Linked DNA regions of Coturnix japonica. The protein of the gene in region 3 interacts with the protein of the main gene of each other region in a biochemical or structural test. Links are inferred from orthologs where the notes say so. Each region holds a gene or a part of one and is shown on either strand. Other genes may lie near its edges.

Region 1 (4,188 bases), on a different chromosome or scaffold from region 3:
TAAATGTGTATGTTTGGTGGCCCTGCCAGGCAGGGGGGTTGGAACTACAAGATCCTTGAGGTCCCTTCCAACCCGGGTCATTCTGTGATTCTGTGATCTACAGACTGGTGCAATGTAATGCACGGCTGAGTTTTAAGGAGTTGAGGGTTTGGGCAGGGGGAGGTGGCAGTCTTTGCTTTTGCCCTGTTATAGAATCACAGAATTACAGGGGTTGGAAGGGACCTCCAGAGATCAAGTCCAACCCCCCAGTTACAGTTCCCTACCATTTATTCTAGTTGTATACCAGTGTATGTTTATTCCCAGTTTTGAAAGGTCAGTTCAGCAATAAAGTACTGACGTTCAGGTTAATTTCAAGAGATTTGGTGTATCTTCTCGGCTACTGCTGAACTACTGACCATTACTGCTTAAAACTGACCATTCTATGATGATTCTATGACATCTTCTGAAACTTTCTAGAATACTTAAAAATGCTAATCCTGATCTTGTGCATGTCGTATATGAAAATGGATGGATGCATAGGAAATTGAAGAAGGAAAGCAAATACAAAATTACTCATGAGGATTCAGGAGCACCTACTGGCATCATCAGCACTGCATTACTCTACTGTATGTGCATAGTTAAATAAACAACTCTAAAACAAGTATCCTTAGCTCTGCTCACCTTGATAGCGGACCAGAGTCAACAGGAAAAGCTGAACACAGTTGCAGACACTTCTAAATTCATTGTTGGTTGCAGGCAACTGCTCTGCCTTCTGCCCCTTTCCCATGTTACAAAACTGTTCACCAGGACCATTGCTCTGCACAATCCTGCCTGATTTTACCTCCTCGTGGCCACTCTTCAGAAGCAAGAGATGCAATGCATAGTAATGCTGCCTTCCAACTCGCTCTCATTCACAGCTCCTGGAATCGGATGAATTGAATACCTGTCTGCTGCTCAAGACAGGCAACTGTTCTGTAAACAAATGGAGCCAGTGCTTCCTGACAAGGAGTTACCCAGCACAAATACAGCACACGAACACAGTGTAATCTACAAGGAAGGACACCGACCAGCCCAGAGTTGGACTGGGACACAAGTCTGTGAGACTTTCAAAGGCACCTTTGGGCTAGAAAGCACAATGAGAAAGGCCAAGAACTACATATAGGTCTGCTCACAAAACAAAGAAATCAGTAAATACACAGAGCTCTAGCAGAGGGCTGGACACAGGCTGGCTGGGGTAGGTGGCAGGCTGAAAGACCTTCTCCCCTCTGCCAGCCATCCCAGCCCATCACCACCCTCTGCACAACCCTGCACTATTTGGCTTATCCCTGTATGGCAGATTGGATAAAAGCACCCCACTGTCAGCTCCCGAGGGAAGCTGTGCTCCTGCACAGCCTCCCCTTAGGTTTGGGATTGGGAAGGGACCCTAGTATCACAAGCATTGCCTCCTTTGACACAATAACAAGAGCACGCCTCTCCTTCCCATCAAAGCCACTCCTAGCTGCACCGTACACAGAAGCACGTGAAGTTGGGAAACGCTTTCCTGCTACTTATTTCCATCACTCATCTCTATTTCAGTGCGCCTGCAGCAGAACCTGTTCCCTACTCCATCTCAGGACCCCATCATCCTCCCAGGCTTGCCAGAAGTGCATGGACAGCCCTGCGTTGCTGTAATGCTCAGCACCCAGCTCCATGGGGCTCTGGAGACCAGAGGTTGGGAGGCACAGCAAGACAGGCTGGGAAACCACCACGGCTGTCATGCAGATGGAAGGATGCACCAACAAACTATTCCTGAGGAGGGTCTGCGCCCCACTGTGTGACTGGTGCCAAGGAATGGACACGCATTATTTCCAGCTGCATCTCACACATAGAATAACAGAACCACAGGGGTCAGGAGGGACCTCTGAAGATCATCAAGTCCAACCCCTGCTAAAGCAGGTTCCCTAGGGGAGGTCACACAGGACATTCAGGTGGGTTCTGAGTCATTCAAGAGAAGGAGACTCCACACTCTCTCTGTGCAGCCTGCTCCAGGCCATGGCTGTCCCAGCCAGCTGTCCCCGTTGTTACTCAATACTCCTGTGTCATTTCCATAACACCTGTGAGCTCCGGGGTCATTTCCACATCCCCCATTTGCTTGCAGTCCATGAGGACAGCACCAAGTCACCAAACAGAGCAGGGTGGACAACAGCACAAAGCGGTGACAGCCACAACCTGTGGGGAACTAAGGACCCTGCTCCAAACCCAGCACCCTACAGAGCTCAAAGGTTTCCAACTCTGAGGCTCAAGAAAGACACACACACGGCAGGTGACCACAGCCACCTGCCAGGTGACCTTCAACAGTCACCAGCAAGATGGGGAAAGTTGGTTCCATGAGGTGTGCCGGCACACGGAGGCCCCCAGAAAGCCAAAATAAAGCAAGCAAGCAGGACAACAGCCCGCATTACAAGGAAATTCAATTGAACGTTAGGGGCGGACGCGGGGCTCAGGGAGCGCTTTTTGTTCCCTCCCGCCGCTTCCATCCTCCTCGGGAGGAACTCGGCACCGAATCTCCGGGGTCCCCAAGGCGGAGGCCGCCGCCGCCGTGCCCCCCGCGCCATGCCGCCGCCCCCGGCCTGACAAAGCCCGCTGCCCCCGACTCACTTTCTCGATGGATCCCGGCAGCAGGCGCTCGAGCAGGCGGCACAGCACCACGCCGTCCTTCAGGGAGGACTGCAGGAAGCCCTCGGGGTCGGCGATGCTCTTCTTGGGCGACTCCAGCACGCCCAGGGCGATCAGCCACGTAACGGTCTGCTCGGCCGAAGTCATGGCCGCGCGGAGCTGGGTTGGAGGGGAGGGGGGTGAGGGGGGGGCGGCTTTATGGGATCGCTGTCTCCCCTCCCCGGGCGGGGGTTTCAGGCCGAGGCCCCCGCCTCCCCCATGTGAATGCGGATGACGACGCCCCGCCACACACACACACACTCACACATATACACACACACACACACACACACATGCAGCCGCAGAGCCGCCTCCTCCCCGCCCCGTGACGGCACGGGGCTTGCGCGCCCGCGGAGCCCCCCCCCCTCCCGCACCCGCGGAGCCGGACCGGGCGGTGGCTGCCCCCCGGCGGCACGAGCGACGCGGAGGTTCCGCGGGTGCGGAGCGCTGGGGGAGCCGCCCGGCTCCGCAGGCTGCGTGCGGCGGGGCCTGTGCTGCACGGGGACAGCGGGATGAGGCGGGAGGGTGATCGGGATCGATGCGTTGGTGTGAGCGCGGTGAGGCGCTGGAACGGGTTGCCCACAGAGGATGTGTGCGCCCCATCTCCGGAGGGATCCAAGGCCAGGTTGGATGGGGCTCTTAGGGCTGTTACTGCCTCGTCTGTCAGCCTCTCGAGCAGTGAGGAGGCACTCCAGATAGATGCACATTTCTGCCTTTGCCAAACCAGGGCTGGGATTTCAGTGGAGAGGAGACTGGTTGAACATTGGTCTGACCAGAAACCAGAGCTCCCATGCAGCAGGTAACTCTCACAGGAGGTTTGCCCTATGGAAGTTTACATCCTCCTGAGAAAACGTCTCATCCCCACAAAGCAATACTTCACATCAAACACACAGATTGTGGAATCGGAGGATGGCTCAGGTTGGAAGAGTCCTTAAATATCACTTCATTCCAAGCTGATTCATTCCAAGCCCTGTGCTCAGCTGCCCAGGGTTCCATCCAACCTGGCTTTGAGCCCCTCCAGGGAAGGGGCACCACAGCTTACAGCCAGCCAGCCAGAGATACTCGGGGGATAGCGGGTGCTCTCCTCCTAAGCACTCAAACCTTCTCCAGCTACAATAGAATCATAGAAGTTGGAAAAGACCACGAGTCCAACCTCAACCCACCCCCACCCCCTGGTGCCCACTGACTATGTCCCTCAGTGCCACACTACCTCACGGCAGGTGCTGTTAGAACCGTGCCAAAGCAGAAATGCTGTCACTGGGTCAGATCACTGTTGAAAGTTCTGTTAATGTCTTCTTCATTTTGTAGGGCAATGAAGGCAACTCACAGTGTTATATCCTTGCAGCATTTGTCACTTTTACCCCGGCTGTGTTCTTTGGATGGAAGTGCCCTCAGAGAGCTCTGGCAGGTCTGCCACAGCCCCAAGTGTAGCCCTGCTTCTGTACTCCTGAGACCATCGGTGCAACAGCTGCACCAGCTTTGTCTTCTAAGTGCAGCTTGGGTTAATGGCATTGA
Region 2 (4,216 bases), on a different chromosome or scaffold from region 3:
ATCACAGCATGGCCTGGGTTGCACACAGTGCTCATCCATCCCAACCCCCTGCTGTGTGCAGGGTCACAACCAGCAGCCAGGGCTGCCCAGAGCCGCATCCAGCCTGGCCTTGAATGCCTGCAGGGCTGGGAGCTGCAGCCTGTGCTGATGCTGCTCCAGCAGCAAGAACACAAAGAAACAGTTCCTAGAAGGAGCAAAGTGGGAACCTTTGCTGGGAGGAAGGTGCCGCTGGCAGCAGGACGCAGCACACAGCGCTGCTTGTGGAGCAGTGTCCGTGTACCCCTGTGACACACTGACAGCACGACACATAAAACGTTTTATTAACCCCATGAAATGGTCAAATACAAACACAAGATGTTCAGTTCTGGACAGCAGGAGCCCAGTCAGTGCTGGATTCCAGCCGGGAGCTGCAGTGCACACAGCAGCTCATACACGTTCCCTTCCTCCTCCTGCCCCCGGTGCCGTTGTGCTGCCGGTTTTGGCCGCCATGTCGGGCAGTCCCGGCTGCTGCTGTGGGTGCAGAGAACGCGGCTCGGCCTGGCCCGGCTGTGACACCGGGCAGTTCAGCGGCTCCACACGGGAGCTGCCATCAGGTGACCGTCCCGCAGCCACCTCCCGGCCACGGCAACGCACCGACCCCGCGGCTCCGTTACGTGCCCGCGGGAGCCGCGTCGGGATCAGCGGGAGCCGCTTCGTGTCCGTCCGGTGCGGCCGGTTCCGCGCTGTGCTCGGTGCGGGCGGCGCGGCGCTGCACGATGCCGGGCATCAAGGACACGTAGGCGCCCATCAGCCGGTGGTTGGAGCGGACCAGCTTCCCGGCGCAGCCGTCCAGGCACCGCTCCTACGGGCGGCACCGGCTCCGTTCGGCTCCGTTCACCCCGTCCCGTCCCGTCCCGTCCCGTCCCGCCCGGTCCCCGCTCACCTCGCGCCGTGACAGCAGCCGGTGCCCGAGGTCGGAGACGCAGCGGCGGAAGCAGAGCTCGGTCATGCGGTTGTACACCAGCAGGAAGTCCCGCAGCTGCAAAACAGCGGCACGTACGGTCACCGGGACGGCCCGGCACCGCCGAACCGGGACGAACCGAACCGAACCGAACCGGGCCGCCCACCATCTTCCCCCCGTCCCCCCACACTCACACTGCGGAGCTGCTGCTGCTGTTCGGCCGCCGCCGCCTCCATGTCGGCCCGCCCCGCGCTGCCGGAAGTACCGGCACTTCCGCCCCGCCGCACTTCCGCTCGGGGATCTACAGCACGTCACTTCCGGCTCGGTCTCCCGGCGCCCCCCGCGCGGGTCGTGACGTAACTTCCGGCGCGTCCGGGCCGAGGCGGATCGAGGCCGCGGAGCCTCCGGGGCGGGGGGGCCCAGCGGGGCCGGGCGGGGCAGGTGGGACATAACGGGACATAACGGGACATAACGGGACGGGCTGGGCTGGGCTGGGCTGGGCTGAAGGTCGGGGTGAAGGTCGGGCCCCGGGTGGGAGCCGGGCTGGGAGCCCCGGTGCCGCCGCAGGGCCCGGCCGTGCAGTGACAGCCCGGCCTTTGGGCCGCCCCGGTCCCGTCCCGGTTCCTGGTGCCGTTGCAGCCGCTGCTCGTGTCGCTCCTGCTCGTCCCGCCCGGGCTCTCGGTGCTCGTTGGCTCCGAGCGGCGGCTGCGAGTCCCGGGCCGGGCCGCAGCGCTGCCCCCAATGCCGGTACCGAGGGGCGGGTCCAGCTCGTGATAACGGCGCTCGGTGCGGGCGGGGCGATGCTCGGAATGTGACCGGACCGGTCCGGCCGGGCCCTGCCGCGCTCTGCCGACGTGGCCCCGAGCCCCGCGCCAGGAGCCGTGGGGAGCTCGGACCGAGGGGACACGAGGAGCCCCGTGAACGAACCGTGTGTCCCCGCAGGCCCTGACCATGTCGGATGGGATCATGAGCAAAGCCGCCACCATGGAGATCCCCATCAGCAGCAACGGGGACGCCGGCAGCCTGCCCGAAGATGACGGCCTGGAGCAGGTGTGGGGCTGCGCCGGGGCCTCACGTCGGCCCCATGGGTTGGGGGTCTGTCCTTGTGCTTCAATTTAATGCTCTGCTCCCCCAGGACCTGCAGCAAGTGATGGTGTCGGGGCCCAACCTCAACGAAACCAGCATCGTGTCTGGTGGCTACGGGGGAACCGCTGAAGGCATCATCCCCACCGGCACCATCAAAGGTACAAACGGCTTCCACAGGGACGGGGCTGTGGGTGGGGGTCAGCTGGGTGTTCTGCTGGAGGCTTTAGGGCTCAGTGCTGGGGTCACAGCCCACCCTGCTGCAGCCCTGAACGGGGCCAGTCTGTGTCCCTGCTCCCAGCAGCTCTGCTCGTAGCTGAGGCCGTCCTGAGTCACAGCCACGTGGCCCTGCAGAGCTCAGCCTCCTCACAGCCCCAGAGCACAGCACTGCTGCCACCCCGCCAATGCTGTGGGGCCCATCCTGGGGGTGTGATTTCCACCCAGCTGCACTTCTTACCCTGCACGTGCCCTTGGCTCACAGGCAGCTGTGGAGATGCCTGGCTCTCTCGTAGATGCAGGGCTTCTGCTGAGGGAGCTGCTCTGCCCTCCTGGGGCACTGGTGTGATGTGTGGGCTCAGCTCTTGGGTATCCAAGAGCCCCAAAGGTGCACAGTACTGGCACAGCTGTGGTGGCTGCACCTGAGAGACACCTTTCAGACAGAGGGGGACAGGGCAGAAGGGTTCTGAGCCCCAGACTCTGCGTTAATGTCCCGTTTTTGCTGTTGCTGCCCACCTGGGAGCCCCAGGCACTTCTGAGCCTGTCTGTAAATGCTCTGTGCTGGAGGGATGGTGTCCACGGGCTTCTGGGGAGCTGCTGCTGCTGCACACCCAGAGCCACAGTCAGTGCAGCTGGAGCAGCTCTGCCCCATCCATCCCTCTCACCCTGTTCCCATTTCATACAAGTCTCTGTCCCAGCTCTTGGCCAGTCTGGCCCATCTGCTGCAAACAACTGTTTTCACTGTGGGTCCTTCCATGTTGTGCCAGGCTGAACGGGTGAATTAACTTAGGCAGAGGGGAGATGAGCTTTTGCTGACAGCCTGCTGTGGCTGGGGGGATATTGTGCAGTGGTTCCCTGTGTCTGTCAGTCCTGGCCTGTCCCAGTTCTCAACCTGGTACGTGTTGATACCAGCCTGGGGATGGGGAGGAAGCAAGAGAGGAGCCTGGGTGCCTCTGACGTGATGCTGTCTGTGCGGCTGCCATCTGTATCTACTGATTTCACATCACTCTTTCATCTGCTCCCCTGCTGCCACCCTTCCTGCACACTCATCCCTGTGTCCTGGTTGCTCCTGCCCTCGTGTCCTTCACACCCCCCCCACCTCTTCCCTCTGCTCACCTCCTGCCAGCCCCTCCATTTCCAGGCTGTCTTGTCCAACCTCACTCACCCCGAGGACCATCCATCTCCCCCAGTGCATCTGCCGCCAGCAGGATGGCCAGCCAGGCTGGTGCTTCAGCAGGTACTGCAGCCACCCCAGCGCCCCATGGTGCGACACAGCCTTTGAGTCCTCCTGTCTCAGGCTTAGGGCCCGGGCTTAAGGCTCCCGTTGTGTGCAGTGTTTCTCAGGGTCAGTTTCTTGCCCTGCTGTGGTGGGGAGCAACCCAAAGCAACCCAGACCCAACCCATGCCTCCCCCAGCAGCAGAGTCTACTCACGGTTCTTGTGCTGGGGGCACACGTGGCACTTCCAAACCACAGTGCACCAGGCAATGAGGCCGAGCTGTGCCTGGCTGTGGGATGCACTGTGTGTCTGCCTGGCCTCTCCTCCACCTCTACCATGCCCCGGAGCACAAGGAGTATTGCCTAGCACAGGAGCACCAGGGCCATTGGTGTGCAGGGCTGTCCCTGCCAGCAGCTCTGCAAGTGAAAGGGGGAACAGCATCTCCCATGTGGGCAGCAGCCAATGCAGTGAGCACCAGGGCCTTGGTTATCAATGTCTAGTAGGGTTTTGGGGGCCAGATTCTGTGCTGCAAGAGGCCAAGTCCTGCTGCTTGCAGGCAGGTGACAAATCACAGGACACTGAGGGCTCTGTTGAGCCTGGTAGCAGTGCCTGACTGGCAGGGGGGAGCCGCTGCCTGCCTGCATCTCATGGGGCTGCCCAGGGTGGATCTGCCTGCACCAGGAGTCTGCTCTGCTTGCACTTCATCAGGCCGCAGTGTGGCCCTGGGAGCAGCAGCCCTGAGAGCACTGCAGTGTGGGGT
Region 3 (4,493 bases):
CTGATCTCCTCAGGACCCTGACATGAATCAGACAGCGTTCACGTCTGCTCTATTTCTGTGTGGTATCTGAAAGGCCCCAGAAGCGGCTGCAGCAGCCAAGAGCAGCAGGAGCGCCGTGCCACTGCCCACAGCTCCCTTCTGCAGCTCCCGGGGCTGCCAAGTCATTGGCAGAGCAGTCTGGGCTTTAAGGATATTCAGCCTGAATGACGAATCGTTTCAGCTTCCATCTGTACGGGGGAACGTGGACATACAGGTTTTATAAAAACAGCCTTTCTCTTTTCAGAGATAGACACTGACATGAAATATCTGAGAATTATCATTGCCCTCCAAAGGAAAGAGAATAAATATTGTGGGATGCTCTGTCCACCGACGAGGTTTCATTTGATAGTTTCCAAATAATTTAGACATGTTCTGAAATGAATAGGAGATGAATCACTGGATAAATCCCTGGGATGGCACCTCTGTTGATTGCAGTGAATGGTCACTCAGCACAAGCAGTGACTGCTCGGGTCTCTTCCTCGTGCTTCCTTTGATGGATGGCAACACAAGGAGAATGGTGAATGTGTGCATCAGTCCAACCAGCAGCGTCTTCCAAGGAGAATAACAGCAACTGTGGAAAGGAAAAGGCTCCTGGGGCCATTGGGCCTGATCTGCTCAACTTTTACTTCAACAGTTACAGGAAATAAATGGTTTCCTTAGGGTAAAAAAGAAACCCAGGGCTCTGTGCAGCCTGGCAGCCCCGGTACGCGTGGTCCAGGCTGCCCCACCTGGGGAAGCTGGCTGTGCACTGATCTGGGCTAAAACCTGCCGGCAGATTGAATGAATGTCACAGCATGGCAGGGGGAGAGAGGGCAGCAGGAGGATCTGCCGATGGAAGGAGGCTTCTGGCTGCGCTCTGTGCTGGCACATGGAGCGAGAGGGACCGGCCTGAGGGGAAACGGGCATCTGTCCGTGGTGGCACACAGTGAGTGCCACAGGTTGGCCTTAACTCGAGTTACATCGGTAAATCTGTACAGCGAACCTAATTCCACACTGACACGTTTCGTACAATGTCGTGCATCGGTTTGTGCACAACAGCCTCGTGGCAGACCGGCCTGAGGAGCGTTGAAGGCAGGGATAACAAAATGGTGTCCAAAGGAGCGTTTGCTGTGAGCTTTGTGGCCATGCGATAGCAGTGAGCCGGGCAGGGCGGGATGGCGGGGTTCTGCATCCCGGTGTGCGGGCACACCGAGCTACCGCCCGGCCCGGCAGCACCGCTGCGTGACAGCGCGATTCTGTGCGGCTCCGTGCGAGTCAACGACGGCAAAAAGCAGAAGGGACCGGGACCGGCCCGTGTCGCAGCGCTGCGGGGAAGCCCGGCCCGACCCCGACGGGCGGAGGAACCGGGCGGCGGCGCCGCAGCGTGTCCCGGGAGGGCGGGGCGGCCGGAGCGGGCCCGGAGGCGGAGCGGCAGCGCGGAGCCCGGCCGGATGTGAGCGGAGCGGCCGCTTCCTGTTTCCCGCAGTTCTCTCCCCGCCCTGGGTGGTGGCCGCTGCCTCGTCCCCGCTCGCAGGCTCAGGGCGGAGGCGGCCGCGACACGCTGCGGAGCGACTGAGACGCGCTCCGCCGCCGGCTGCTTTATCGAGCGGCGCTCCACGCCCCGCCCCGCTCCGCAGCCGCGATGCAGGCCATCAAATGCGTGGTGGTGGGCGACGGGTGAGTGCGGACCCGCGGACCGACCCCTTCGGTCGGGCCCGAGCCCGAGCCGCGCTGGATCCCGAGGGCGGGGGCGGCGCGGGGACGAGCGGGGGGTTGGGGCTTGTGCGGGCGGGGGAGGGGAGCGAGAGCGGGACGGGCGGCGACCAGTGCCGGCAAATGGAGGCGACGGGAGGGGCGGGAGCAGCGCGGCCGGTGCGGGCCCGAACGCGGCCACAGCCCGAGTCCGAGCCCAGCCCGAGTCCGAGCCCAGCCCGAGTCCGAGCCCAGCCCGCTCCGCGCCGTGGCGGCGGGTGGTGCCGACCGAGGCGGCTGCGCGGGGCGGGGGTGCGGGCGGCCGGGCGGGGCCCAGCGGGGCTGCGGGATGTGAGCACTGGGAGCTGAGCACTGTGAGCTCTGTGAGCTGTGCAATGTGCGTTGTGAGCTGTGTGAGCTGAGCACTGTGAGCTCTGTGAGCTGTGCAATGTGCGGTGTGAGCTGTGTGAGCTGAGCACTGTGAGCTCTGTGCGCTGTGCGGGGCCGCGCCGGGGAGGAGGCAGCGCGTCACGGGGGGAATGGGCTGAAGGGCGGGGGGCGGATCGTACCGTGTGGAGCCACAAAGTACCGAACTCACATCGCTACATCCGCTTTTTGCTGCACAACTACGAACAATCTGTTCCGCTCCAATCGAACCATACGCGCCGTGTGAGCTGAGCGTTTTCCTGCTCGCACGGCTCCCGTCTGGGGAGGTTCCTGCCTGCAAGAGGCTGAGAAAGCAATCGAAACCCAACTCATTAACATCGTACTCAGCTGTAAATCACTGCTGTGCCTACAGCGCTCCGAATGGGATGTGCCTTATACATTAGTTAGAAACAAGTTGTTAGGATCAGGTTAGCACTAAGCTGACCTGTTGGATTCCAGCATAAGCACTGCAGCTGTGATGGGGATGTTGTGTTGCTGCTTCTCAGTACTCACCACCATGTGTTGCCATTGGCCCAGAGGCTCCTTTCTCTCTCGCTGGGGCAGCAGTGCAGGGCAGCTGAACAAGGCGTGGCTTGTGCACTTCCACGGGGCTTTTTTCCCCCTCGGTAGAAACAAAAATCCCAGTGTAGGCCGAGCATAATCGGTGTCACAGCAAACCCCTGCGGGTGACAGAGGCTGTAAGTGTGGCTGATGGCCTTGCTGCTGTCTCTGTAATTGAATGTGGTGGATTAACCTTCCAGTTTCCTGTGTGTGGCTTTGTATTTTTCAACAAGGCTTGGAGTCCCTGAGCTGGCAGCTGTTAGAAAGATAAACTGAGCTCACGTGGCACATGTGTTCGGCCTGCTCTTACTGTGCAGGGTTTTGAGCCGAACACGAGTGTACTGAGCACTTGATCATCTGACAGAGACTTGTCATAGCACTGTAACTGATGGATCCATCACTGTAATTGATGGATGGTGGGCAGTGTGACTGCAGGCAAACCTTTCAGTTGCGTTGACTTTAAAGGTGACTAAAATCCCTTTTTTTAATTGTCATTTTTAAAGTGAATTGATGTCTGTGGCAGTGCTGGAAATCAACGTGGTGCATCGAGTTTGGGTGGGGAGAAAGTTCTGCCTGTTTCCTCTGCTGGGTTGAGGAGCTCAGTACGGACGCTGTGTTACTCAATGACTCGCTCAGCAAAGCAGTTCTTCTTTGTCTCTTGCTTTGTAAACTACTCCTTTTCTCAATGCATTTCCTGCTGGAAATGAAAGTGTGTCATCCCACCCAAGTCTTACACGTACGTGTGAACAAAACACGGCATTCAGTGGGCTTTCCTTCCTCTGCAGTTAGAAGCACATACCTCCTAGGATCCCATCTAGAAGCCGCTGCTCAGTTTTGCTATCTGTTCATTGACTTCTGCTGGGATTTTTAAATATTTTATGGTGCTTCTCTGCTGTTGCTTCACGAGTGAAGACATTACAGGCGTTCTGGTAAATGCGGAATGTTTGGCTTAGATAAGGCTAAAGCTCTGGTACTTCAGGAAAACAATGCAGGTTAAAGATTTGCTCATATGACATAAAACTTAGGCGCTGATTTATGTGCCCTGTGGAGATCCACTGGGAACAAACCAGCTGTGGATGTACCTGTGCAGCCTTAACAGCTGGAAGCAAGCAGGCGGTTTCTGAGCTGTTTTTGTTCTTAGGGCTCTGACTGGTATCTTTTTAGAGCTCTAATTTGGCTACAAAACACAGCATGTTTGCTGGTTGTGCAATCTTGTTTTGCCCTTGTTTTCCTCTTCATTGTGAGGATTGTTAGAGGGAAAATAAACAGCAACTGTTGCTTGTGCTTGTGGAAGATGCAGAGCAGTAGGAACGTGTGCTGGGATAACAAGGGCAGGAGCTGCTGCTGACTGACACTTGTGGAGAGCACTGCTAGGAGTTATTTTTAGCAGCTTTTGTTTTCACTCTGAAAAAGCAGCTGTTCAGTGGTATGAAATCTCAAGTGATCTCGTGTAACGCTGGGGGAAGTTCTGTGCTTTGGAATGATGATTATTGGGTGACAGAGAAACGGTCAGCTTCCTGCTCTTCTGGAGCTGGTTTTCATTGTAAAACTATTGTAAGAAAAGAGTCTGTCTGGAATTGTGCTCGCCTTGAGGCCTTGCTGGCTAAAGCTGTGCTGCCTGATCTGATAACTTGTCAAGAGGAAGGAAGGGGGGTGATGGGCTCCTTACTGAGTGCAGGGTGAGGTTCCGAGCACCTCTGCTCTCCAGTGCCACCTATGGAGAGTGCAGCGACTCCAAGTGTAGGAACTTCTGCTATTGCACTTCTACACATTGGGTAGTACTGGAAATGCTGAGC

What was found.
Region 1: the proteins of RAC1 (region 3) and ARHGEF7 form a complex in vitro, tested with the Homo sapiens proteins (2 studies listed by IntAct). The link is inferred for Coturnix japonica from reciprocal best matches to the Homo sapiens genes RAC1 and ARHGEF7.
Region 2: the proteins of RAC1 (region 3) and ARFIP2 form a complex in vitro, tested with the Homo sapiens proteins (2 studies listed by BioGRID and IntAct, with this or other methods). The link is inferred for Coturnix japonica from reciprocal best matches to the Homo sapiens genes RAC1 and ARFIP2.

What each region holds. Positions count from the first base shown.
Region 1 is NC_029516.1:125,507,086-125,511,273, reverse strand, and holds the start of ARHGEF7 (rho guanine nucleotide exchange factor 7), read right to left. Parts: upstream 2,950-4,188; 5' UTR 2,782-2,949; coding exon 2,617-2,781; intron 1-2,616. UniProt on the Homo sapiens protein: Acts as a RAC1 guanine nucleotide exchange factor (GEF) and can induce membrane ruffling. Functions in cell migration, attachment and cell spreading. Promotes targeting of RAC1 to focal adhesions. May function as a positive regulator of apoptosis.
Region 2 is NC_029516.1:174,018,079-174,022,294, forward strand, and holds the start of ARFIP2 (arfaptin-2), read left to right. Parts: upstream 1-1,267; 5' UTR 1,268-1,381; intron 1,382-1,882; 5' UTR 1,883-1,891; coding exon 1,892-1,990; intron 1,991-2,075; coding exon 2,076-2,184; intron 2,185-3,365; coding exon 3,366-3,476; intron 3,477-4,216. Other genes in the region: TIMM10B (mitochondrial import inner membrane translocase subunit Tim10 B), read right to left, coding at 650-841, 923-1,018, 1,135-1,176. UniProt on the Homo sapiens protein: Plays a role in constitutive metalloproteinase (MMP) secretion from the trans Golgi network. May have important functions during vesicle biogenesis at certain cargo subdomains, which could be predominantly utilized by secreted MMPs, such as MMP7 and MMP2.
Region 3 is NC_029529.1:8,463,301-8,467,793, reverse strand, and holds the start of RAC1 (ras-related C3 botulinum toxin substrate 1), read left to right. Parts: upstream 1-1,475; 5' UTR 1,476-1,660; coding exon 1,661-1,695; intron 1,696-4,493. UniProt on the Homo sapiens protein: Plasma membrane-associated small GTPase which cycles between active GTP-bound and inactive GDP-bound states.